Linked DNA regions of Canis lupus familiaris. The protein of the gene in region 2 interacts with the protein of the main gene of each other region in a biochemical or structural test. Links are inferred from orthologs where the notes say so. Each region holds a gene or a part of one and is shown on either strand. Other genes may lie near its edges.

Evidence for each region.
Region 1: of the proteins of CLSPN (region 2) and CSNK1G1, one has a biochemical effect on the other in vitro, tested with the Homo sapiens proteins (2 studies listed by BioGRID). The link is inferred for Canis lupus familiaris from reciprocal best matches to the Homo sapiens genes CLSPN and CSNK1G1.
Region 3: of the proteins of CLSPN (region 2) and USP20, one has a biochemical effect on the other in vitro, tested with the Homo sapiens proteins (2 studies listed by BioGRID, with this or other methods). The link is inferred for Canis lupus familiaris from reciprocal best matches to the Homo sapiens genes CLSPN and USP20.

What each region holds. Positions count from the first base shown.
Region 1 is NC_049251.1:29,107,774-29,111,422, forward strand, and holds part of CSNK1G1 (casein kinase I), read right to left. Parts: intron 3,582-3,649; coding exon 3,304-3,581; intron 2,673-3,303; coding exon 2,565-2,672; intron 1-2,564.
Region 2 is NC_049236.1:6,475,312-6,478,960, reverse strand, and holds part of CLSPN (claspin), read right to left. Parts: intron 3,297-3,649; coding exon 3,188-3,296; intron 2,673-3,187; coding exon 2,224-2,672; intron 1,610-2,223; coding exon 1,445-1,609; intron 1-1,444.
Region 3 is NC_049230.1:54,096,537-54,100,702, forward strand, and holds the start of USP20 (ubiquitin carboxyl-terminal hydrolase 20), read right to left. Parts: upstream 2,914-4,166; 5' UTR 2,792-2,913; exon of another isoform or gene 2,670-2,791; intron 1-2,669. Other genes in the region: C9H9orf78 (telomere length and silencing protein 1 homolog), read left to right, coding at 3,102-3,184, 3,523-3,582.

The DNA.
Region 1 (3,649 bases), on a different chromosome or scaffold from region 2:
AGAAATGACAAGCGAAACTAAAGGAAATAAATACCTATTTTAGTTTGAAATATTCTGAAAACTTGAGTGGGCAGATATGCTGACTTCACTGACTACTTAAATTATTTTTTTCTTTCCATATATTTTCTATTTAAATGTACCTTTCATCATAAGGAATATAACCTCATCACAGAATAGTTTGGAAAAATATTATCCACAATATTATCAGTTGCAACACTATTTCTGTTAATAAATTGGCATTATCTCCTCTCGCTGATTTTTTTCGTTTTCCCTTCCCCTGAGGGGAAACAAGATGTATTTCTAATTTTGCAATCTGATTTCTTCATTCTACAAACCATAAACATTTTCAGTTGCCACAAGTTTTCCAAATATTATTTTAAATGGCTACATAATATTCCACTGAATAAGTACACTGTAACTCACTTTATTATAGCCCAGTTTATTCAATAAAAGATTTGAACAGGATCCATAACACTTCCTTTAGGATTAGATAGATGGATCGTTTCTAAATCTGTTTCAAATCACACTGCAACAATTTTATGCACATAACTTAATCTAGATCTTGGGTTGTTTTATTATGATTGATTCAAAATACTAAGATTTTTCTATCCGAAAGAACAGTAACTTCATCCAATTACCTTCTGGAAAATTTGTAACAATTTGCAGAGTCCAGAGCAATGTATGAGAGTGGCAGTTTATGCACTCAGCTATACTTTTAACAAGGGAAGGCAAAAGAGAAAAACTGCAGAAGTCAACAGTACTCTGTTGTCAAATCAGAGGTCAGTCAAATCATAATTCTTAGCCAACTACTTTGATTAAAGCGTATAACTATGGACCCAATTAGTGTACATGATTTGCTAACCCCTACCTTTTTGCCTATCTACTCTTTCTTTTAGCTACTAATACATAGATTTCCTTCCTTTATACTTTTTTTTCTTACCAAGCCATTTTGCTACAAGTATATACTTATGGTGAGTCTATCTGTTATTTGTATATACTTCACTTTACCTATATGTGTATGTATTTCTATGTGCTATGTGGTTTCATATGTACATCTGAGATAAATGTTTTTGCATTTTATTATAAAAATATTTGTGAATATTAAAAAATGAGGTCAGGGGTGAGGACAACAAGCTAATTTGATAGGTGATAATGACTGTGTGTGTGTGTCTGTGCGCGCATGTGTATCTGTTTATTATCCTTTGTTTATTTATCTACTAGGGTCCTCAGTTTTCTCTTAGCAATGTGCAGTTGACTCTTGAACAACATTGAGGTTAGGTGCATTGGCCACCATGAAGTCAAAAACCCCCATATAACTTTTGACTCCCCCCAAATTTAACTACTAATAGCCTATTGGTGACCAGAATCCTTACCAGTAATATAAACAGTCAATAAACACATATTTTGTATGTTACATGTACTTACAATAAGGCTAACATACTATATACTGTACTTACAATAAAGCTAGAAAAAAATGTTACTAGGAAAATCAAGAAAGAAAACATTTACAGTATTGTACTATATTTATTGAAAAAATCCACATATAAGTAGACCCACACCTCTCAAACCTGTGTTGTTCAAGGGTCAATTATATATGATATAAAGATGAAAGTCGTCATTTTACTTCCCAATCAGTGACCCCTTTCTTTAAATGTTGTCAGATTTGTCGATTTTTGTGTGTTTGCCTCTCCTGTCTTTAGGCTGAGGGAAGCCTCTCACACTGACCACTAGTTTTTCAAACTATGAACACTGAAGGACTGATGACATGGCCTTCTCTGGAGTGGCCTAAAGCAAAGCTGAGTCTTCACTACACCATCTCAGATATTGGCAAGTTCTAGAATTAACCTGGGAACAGGGGCAAAAGGGGGAAGAGAGGTGCCAGTTTATGCCTACGTCAGCTGAAGTCTAAATTACCTACTCTTCTTTTCTTATAAAATTTTTAAAATTATATTTATATATTTTTTGTTTATTTATTTATTTATTTGAGACAGACACACACACACACACACACACACACACACACAGAGGCAGAGACATAGGCAGAGAGAGAAGCAGGCTCCATACAGGGAGCCCTATGTGGGACTCGATCCCCAGTATTCAGGATCACGCCCTGGGCCGAAGGCAAGCGCTGAACTGCTGAGGGAACTGCCACCCAGGCATCCCTTACCCACTCTTCATAACCAGCCAAACAACAACAACAAAACCCTCAGCATTGGCAAGATTGACACACTGGACTGCAGATGAGGCTCAAAATAGGCTTCTCTGTTCATCCTGTATGTTCAGCAGGTCTTTCAAGGCTGTGGCAGACTTTTTTTTCAGCCAACAGACTTGGACAAGCCTAAATTCTCTCGACTGGATACTTGATGTAGGTCACCCAGCTGCATCTCAGCAGCATTACAAAGCCCTGAGGGATGCTGGAGGGCCGCAACACACCACTGAGAGATGGCAAGTTCTTTGTCTTTAATTTCAATGTATACACTGAAGCAGAGAAGCTGAAGACTTTCAGTGTTTGTATTATCCACGAAGAGGAAGAATGTCTGAAATAACGAAGGCCCAGCACGTACCTGATTTCGGAGAGGCTGTTGTTGTGATGGCCGGTCCCTGTGGGTGTGGCTTTCTCGTGTTATTGCAGACGCACCAGAATCTACATGAACTGACCCTACTGGCGTAGGCTGGAAAGACAGAACAAAACATCAGATGGAAAATGGGCCAACTTAATGCCTCCACAAAGGAGAGCATCATTCTAATTGTAATAAAACACTAGTGATTATTATTTTCAGCCACCAAGGACAGTTTCCACTTTTCTTGTCTTTTGTTTATCTGCAAAAGGGAGGCCGCCTGGTCCTCAAGAGCTCACTGGAGAGTAGCTTACCGTGGAAAATAAGAAAAACATTCTACAGTGATGTGTTAGCATGCTCTTAGGCACTGTGGACCCCTGGCCAAAAGAGCCAATTCGAAAGTTTCTTATGGGGCTGGGTTCTATCTACTCTGTAGAAGTCAAGTACCTTATCAGCTTATGTAGCACCAGTTTCTGGATCATTCAAATTAAATTTCTTCTTAAGAATTGGCTTAAGTTCTGCTATCTTAGGACATACTGGTCATAATCTTAAAAACATATAAAGGAGTTGCTCTTATTTCCTAACTCTAGTAATTGCAACCTATGGCAATCACCCTGAAAAGGTTGGCAAATGTAAAGTCTACAGTCAAAGGAATGTTTTTTCTACAGACTCAAGCAGAAAGTCTGGCAAGTCAAGTGGTGAGGTAGCACTGGTTTAAAGTGAGGAGGTAAAACAGGATACTTACAATGGGCCTTCCAACCCAATCGTAGGCATAGTCAAACGTGTAGCCTTTCCTTTCAAAGAGGTCTGTGAAGAGGGTCCGTAAATACTCATAGTCAGGCTTTTCAAAGAAGTCTAATCGCCTGACATATCGCAGGTAGGTTGCCATTTCTTCTGTAGAAAAGAGGTGAAAGGCCATGCTCATGAGTTGAATGCTTCCCATGGCGAGAAGCTCTGGGCCAACCCAGGAATATCTGGTGTTTTCTTTATGGCCCAAGTGAAAGTGATAAAACCTGTCTTGGTCTAAATGACAATAAAAGGAAATGTGAATTTTCTGGAGAGCACCCTTATCTAGAGATACCAAGTCATGG
Region 2 (3,649 bases):
AATTAAACCTAAGGGGCGCCTGGGTGGCTCAGTCGGTTAAGCGACCAAGTCATGATTTTAGCTCAGGTCATGATCTCGTGGGTTATGGGATTCAGCCTTTGTGGGGCTCTGTGTTGAGCAGGGAGTCTGCTTGGCATTCTCTCTCTGTCCCTCCCCCTACTCGCTCGCTCTCTCAAGGAAATAAATCTTTAAAAACATTATTAAAAAAGAATTAAGCTGAAATAAGAGGAAATTGCCTACTCAAAAGATTGCTTTTGTATCCCAACATCACATCATGCTACATTAATAACAAGTCAATAATTATTAAATATAAAGTTTTAAACATATAGCATCCCGGGTTACCTAGATGGCTCAGTGGTTGAGCATCTGCCATTAGCTCAGGTTGTGATCCTGAGGTCCTGGGATCAAGTCCCACATCAGGCTCTCCACAGGGAGCCTGCTTCTCCCTCTGCCTGTGTCTCTGCTTCTCTCGAGACATATTTAAATAAATTTATTTATTTATTTACTTATTTATTTATTTATTTATTTACGATAGACACAGAGAGAGAGAGGCAGAGACACAAGCAGAGGGAGAAGCAGGCTCCATGCCGGGAGCCCGATGTGGGACTCGATACCAGGTCTCCGGGATAGCGCCCTGGGCCAAAGGCAGGCGCCAAACCGCTGCACCACCCAGGGATCCCCATATTTAAAAATGTTTAAAAAAATAAACGTATAGCATCTCTATAAAGCTTAGAAAAAAAAAAAGCTTAGAAAAAACTTTGCTGCCTCAAATGGAGCTTGAGCTCTCATTTCTTACACGCCTTTATTATCTTTCCCAATAACTCCCAAGGAGCTAAAGATAATCTTAGCAAGAATAATTGCACTTCCAAACACTCAGGACAATGATGTTTCACTACTGATACCTTCCCAGAAACACTTTTTTTTTTTTTTAAGATTTTATTTATTTGAGCACACGAGAGAGAACATGTGTGCACAAGCAAGGGGAGAGGCAGAGGGAAAGGGAGAAGCAGACTCCCCACTGAGCAGGGAGGACCATGCGGGACTGGATCCCAGGACTCTGAGATGACCTAAGCCAAAGGCAGGCAGTTAACCGACTGAACCACCCAGACGCCCCACCAGAAACACTTTAGGTTCATTTCTTAGAGGCCACAGGAAAATAAAACTTGTATCTCTGCCCCATTCATACCTGTTTCTTATACAATATAAAGGCTCACTTTTTTCCCCCTGACATCCTATGAGGGTACTCAAAATACTAGCTTCCACACAAGTTAGCACATCTATCACTTGTACTGCCTGATTCCAAAATTAACAGCCAGAAAACTTAAATCAATTGCCACATGTTTTTCTTCAGTTAAAAAAAAAAAAAACTTCCAACAGTAAATCAGAAAATAAAGCAAAGGTTAGAAGCAGTGGGTTAGCTCTTACGCAATCATCTTTTACTTGCCTTGTGCTTTTTTACTTTGTTTTTCACAGCTGCCCTTATCGATTCCAAAGACTCTTCGTCTTCCAATGCAGAGTTAGTTTCCTCCTCCTCCAACCCAGTTTCAAAAAGGTCTTTATCCACGAGAAGACAGCCACTATCATTAAATGGCTGTTTCACATCATCTTCCTGGATAACACATAAAGAAAAAAGCTAAATCCAATCACTCAAACTCCAATATTCCACAATATAATAAGCTAATTTGGATCAGGCAATGAAAAGCCCATACATAGTACATCAACAGACAAATATATGGCATTTTAGAACAGTCTCCTGGGCCCCTACCCACAGTCATCCTTTGAGGTCCATGCTGTGATTTTACTGCCCAAAACCAACTTAATAAACAGTATATATATTTTTTGCAAAATCAATTAAATACTTATTAAGCAACTACTTTATAAAACTTGAAGATGGTTTCTCTAGTCAGCAAACCAGACTTGACGTATGGATGCCTAAAAAATTCTCCTCTGAAAGTTAATTTTCATCAAATCAGAAGCAGCAGTTATTCCATACGCTTGCAAAGAAAATCAGAAATCTACTTTATTTGGAAGTGTCCCCTATTTATCTAAAATGGAGAATGAGACCAGCAAGTTTTAAATTCCATTATCTCAATACTTGCAACGCAAAACAATCAACTCGAAGCTATATTCTGCGTGCAGAAACCTCAAGAACTAAAAGCAACTTGCTCTAAGATGTTAAGTTCATCCACCTTAGAAAGAACAAATTTGTTCTTTTAAACATACCTCACTTTTCGTTTCCTTCTTTTTTAGCCGCCTGATTTTTTCCATCTTTTTTTCCTCTTTCTCAAGTCTTCTCTTTGATTTTACTTTTGCTTTTCCTCCAATTCCTTCTTTATCACGTTTGGGTTTTTTGGAAATCTTTCTGTCGACTGTGAAGTCCACAGAGTTTTCAGATTGGAGACTCCGCTCTAAGCAAGGCATCACCTGGGTTTCAAGGTTTTCCTGATACAAAGACTCCTCGATGTCACTTTCAGCACTGTCTGCCAGAGTTTTGTAAATCCTTCTGACTTTTCCATTTTTTCCGGCATATAAGTTCTCTTTATTTTCCTCCTCAACACTGTCATAGGGAGTTTGCTCTGGGGAGGCATTTGTGTCCTCTCTCTCAGAATCACTGTCTTGTAGCACCTTCTTGCTTTTCAATTTCTTACTCGTGAATATCTCTTCATCTGAATCTGGAGGAAACAATTTTTTTTAGAGGTCTACTGTCATTCGGCCCTCCTCCTAGTCCCACTGGTCTTCAAAAATATCCAATTATTCAAGTGCTATGTCACCTCGTGAAATTATGTAGCTACCACTAAGAACTGATTGTAGCAAAGCAAATCTAAAAATAGGTTTTGAAAAACATTTTCCCTGGAAAAATGTCTCTTACTGAGAAATGTAATTATATATATTTACAAAGTGTAAAGTTGTTCTAATTCTTCTGGCAGATGTTAAAAATCCTTTTATTAAAGGATGAATGCATGCAACAAGGCAATGTGGTAGCTTCTAGACATTTTATACATTTAATAACATAATAGAAATAGCTAATGTCAAAAGGCTACAAGCACTATTATTTTGTTTATATAATAAGACAAATAATACGGTTAAGAATAATTTAACGAAACAAAAGGATAATGAAATTAATCCAGTCCACTTACAACCCAAGCTCCTACATTCTATTCTTAAAAATAAAATCACTATTACAAACCTCCATCACTCAAGGGCACAATTGTTTCACAGCTGCCTTGTCCACTGTCTGAAGGACTATTGGCTCCTTCCTGTGAAATGAGCTTTGGATCACTGATTTCTAGGTGAACCTAGAAAATGAGAACACACTTTGCATTAACCAGCTGATGACAAAAAGCTCTAAATATCTAATGATTCACAAATCATCATAGGACCATAAGACTCAAGTAAGGAAAACACCAATACAATGGTTCAAAGAGGGATCCCTGGATGGCGCAGCGGTTTGGCGCCTGCCTTTGGCCCAGGGCACGATCCTGGAGACCCGGGATCGAATCCCACGTCGGGCTCCCGGTGCATGGAGCCTGCTTCTCCCTCTGCCTGTGTCTCTGCCTCTCTCTCTCTCTCTCTCTCTGTGACTATCATAAATAAATAAAAAAATTAAAAAAAAAAAAAACAAAAAACAATGGTTCAAAGAAGTGATGAC
Region 3 (4,166 bases), on a different chromosome or scaffold from region 2:
TTTGGGGCCACCTCAGGCTGGCAGTTTTGTGGGGTTAGTAGGCTGGAAGCAGTGACTGGTCCCTGGCCACTGAGAAGCCACAAACCCTGGAGTGCTCAAGTAAAAGCAGAAATATAGACTGAAAAACCCTGAAACCGCAAAGCAGGAGAGGCGCAGAGGGGTTCATGCCAAAAGTCTCATAGACAGCAAATGGCAGAACAGGGACTCCAGTGGGGAAAGAGGCTCAGAGAAGGGAAGGGTCATGCCCAGAGTCACATGGTAAATTGGCAGAGCTGGGGCTTGAACTGAGAGTCAGGACCTAGAATTCACTCTACTGTTATATCATGTTACCGACCTAACCACAAATGAGAATATATCAATTTAAATTTGCAATTCGGTCCCACCTCCTATTCGTGATTCCCTCACCTCACTCTATTTCCATACCAGTCATCACCCGCTAATATACTTTACATACTTATGTTATTAGAACCTAACGTCCATGGTGCCTGGGTGGCTCAGTTGGTTGGGCGTCTGACTCTTGATTTCTGCTCAGGTCATGATCTCAGGGTCGTGGGATAGAGAGCCCCGCCCTCAGTGTGGAGTCCTCTTGTCCCTCTTCCTCTACTCCTCCCCATTATCCCCTCCTTCCTCATGCTCTCATTTTCCCTCTCTCAAATAAATAAAATCTTAAAACAACAACAACAACAACAACAACAACCTAAAGTCCACTAGATCAGGGATCTTTCATCTCTTTTGTTCCCTGGCATACTTCAAGCACCTAGAACAGTGCCTGCTTCATATAGTAAAAGCTCAGGAAATACCTGAATAAATAAATTAGTCCAACAAAATTTTATTGAACACTTACTGCAGCCAGGCTGTGAACTGCAATGGCTTTGCTTCATCCCAAATCTACCTAGACATTAATGTTCACTGAACCCTGAAACAAGTCTGACTCCAGAAAGGAGCTGCTAGCAAACCAACCCAAAATGAGCCAAACCCATACATTTCCTTAAACCACCACTGTCAAAACCAAAACATGACACATCTCTAAAGAGAACCCAAATTTCCTGGAGGCTCCCTCTGAGAAGCACTTTCATCTCACCCCCCAAAAAGGCCCAGCAACACTTAAAGAGTCTGCAGCCCCTTTGCCCAGCCACCCACTGCCAGATTCACAACTGCCACTTTCCAAGCACTGCTTTTGCTAAACAGATCTCAGACCTGCCACAACCCAGGAGGGGAGTAGCACGGGGCACTCTGGCCCTGCCAAGCAGGGACAGCTCATTGGTACCAGGTGCTCCTGCCTGGGATGTCAGAAGAGAAGAGGGGTCTAGAAATGTCCTTGGCCTTCTGGCCCTCTCCTTAGTGCTGTCCAATACCTCCTAGTAGGAGGGTTGCTGGGTGGGCAAAATCAGAGCCACCTCTGAAAAGCGTGACGTCTGCAGACATGGAACTCCCTGGGTTCCCGCAGCAGTGCCCAGGGAGCCTCCCCTTCAGCCAGCAGGGACAGGGTGTCCAGTGATTCCCAGGTGCATCTGGGGCTCGATGAACCAGACTGCAGAAGGCAAGACTTTGAGATTTTAATATATGGCTTTTGACCAAAGCCAAAAAGCTGTTCCAAGAAGTCCTGAGTCCATCTGTCTCGGTCCAAGGAAAAAGAGCAGCAATCTCGAGAGACTGTTCCAGAGAAAAGGAAGGCATTCCAGAAGTGCTGCCCTGCTTCTGAATGGTCTTCCAGAAGAGGAAACCAAAACAGTCTCCATCAGCGCCTCCCCCCAACCAACCATCACAACAGCTACAGCAAACATTTACTGAGCTTCTACTGTGCACAACCTGCAGCAGAGGTGGGCCTGCCACTGATCCCTGTTCCACCTTCGCGCTGGGTAACCTTAGGCACCTATTGCCTTTCTGAGCCAAAGTCTCCTCGCTTGCGAAATGAAAAATAACTCGATCTACTTCATAGGATTGTGGGAGTTCACAGAGACGATGCTTAGCCCGGTGCCTGCCACACAGCAGTGCTTAGTAAGAGGCAGTGCTTTCGGGGTAAAGGACCGGCCTATACTGAGAAAGGGAAAACTATTTAAGAGGTTTCTAGAAGTCCTGTAAGCCATCCTCGATACATTTAGTTATCTCCTAAGCGGTTCGTTGATGCCTGTTTGCCTGTTTCTTTTCAAATAAACGTAATCCTCACAGCATCCTCGGGGTGGAAAGGCGGAGGGCAGGGCGACAGTCGTCGTGACAAAGGACGAAAACAAGGCCCCTGCAGGTCCGGGGAGGCGGCCGGCAAGCACACGACAAAGGGCCCTCTCTCTGCCCTCAAACCCCCCGGAGTGGGTTCGAAACCTCGGACGCAGGGATGAAGTGGCTGGAGGCCCCCACTAGCGGGGCAGTCGGCGCCAGGACCTTAATCTACCATTGCTAAGAGGCGGTCATCTTTTATCCCTAAAGAAAAAAAATGCACGTCAAGGCCCAGACCCTGGGGGAATAAGTCAGCGCCCCCAGACGCCGCACTCGCGCTTTCAACTCGTGCTGGGTCGGGCGCCGCAGAAATAGGAGATGGCGGCCCCCAGTTCCGGAGCAGCAACGAGCCCCCCAGGGTTGCAAGTGGGGCATCGGGGCCCCGAGGGCACCCCCCGGCGCCGCCGGAGGAGGGGAGAGGGCGGCAGCGGCCGGGGGTCCCGGGCTCCGCTCACCGGGCAGCGGCGTCCTGCGCACCCGGCAGGGCCAGGCCCCATCCGGCCCGCAGCCAGGCCAGGGGGGCCCCTGCCGGGAGAGGCCCGGCCCCCGAAGCAGCCGGCTGCGGCCCGGAACTCACCTGCCGTCGCAACCGCGCCGCCGCCGCCTGTCAGTTAAGCGCACCCACAGCCGCAGGGCGCAGGGCCGTGGGACCCGCGGACCGCGCCCCGCCTCCTGCCCCTCGGCCGCCCAATCGGAGAGGCGGACGCCACGGCTGGGGGCGGGGCCGGCGGGCAGTGTGGGCCGGGGGCGGGGCCAGACGAGCGTGGGGCGGGGCCGGGCGGGGCCGGCGCTGGGCTCGCTGCGCTCTGACCGCACTGCTACGCGCCGGAAGCAGCCCCGGCCCGGGCACAGGGGCGCGGCGGCGGGACCGCGGGGCCGGCGCTACCATGCCGGTCACCGGCAAGAGTTTCCGCCGGCGCCGGGCCGACTCGGAGTCGGAGGAAGATGAGCAGGACTCAGAGGAGGTTCGGTGCGTTTGGGATGGGGCTTTCAAGGGGCAAGAAGAGAGAGCCGCCCGTGGGACTCCGCCCCCGCGAGGCGCCTCTTTGTGAGCCGAGATTGTTGTCCCTTTCTGCAGACAAAAAAACTGAGGCTCCTAGGGTTGAGGCCCCCGCCGCAAGGCCGCACGGTTGGGAGAGGTGTCCCCAGGATGCACAGTGGATCTGACACCCAGTGGTTCTAAGCGCGGGGTCGTCTCCTGGACCATTGTGCCGGCCGTTCGGCATCTGGGCCGGGCACCCGTCGAAGCCGCCTTTTAAGGCTGGGTTCCGCCGAGGGTCTCTAAGTCTGTGCGTTGCCTTTTTTCAGATTAAAACTGGAAGAGACTCGCGAGGTGCAAAACTTGAGGAAGAGGCCCAACGGGGTGAGGTGGGTACCACCGGGGGACCCGGAGGAGGAGGAGGAGGAGGCGGCGGCGGTGGTGGCAGGGATACGCCCCCGCCTGGGTCGCCGTCGCGATGACCTCAGAGCCTCTTCTCTTGACACACTGTAGGGCGTCCACTGCCCTGAAAGGAGTGCAGCGTTGTTTAAAGATGTTTAATCAGGAGATGGTCTCAGCTGTGTGGTCTTGAGGTTTGCTCCAGAGCTGCAGAAACGGGTTATTAACTCGTGGTTTTATTGCACCCGATATATTAACTCATGTTTTTCTTGGACCCGATTGTGAAATGCACATTTACTGTTAGAAGTGTGGAAAATTTAGAAAAGTGTAATCAGAAAAATAATCGGCGCCCATACTTCTCCCATCCACAGGTAACCAGTGTTAGCATTCAATGTTCTGGCCAATCTGTTTTGTCTCTTTTGTAGAGATTGTGAGTGCTTTCCTTCTATGCTGTTTGCAACTCATTTTCACATTTCGGGCATTAACACTGTGGGTTATTTTTCCAGAAAAACTTTTTAGGGGCAGCATAGTATTCTGCCACGTGCATGTGCCATAATTTGTCAGTTAATCCCCT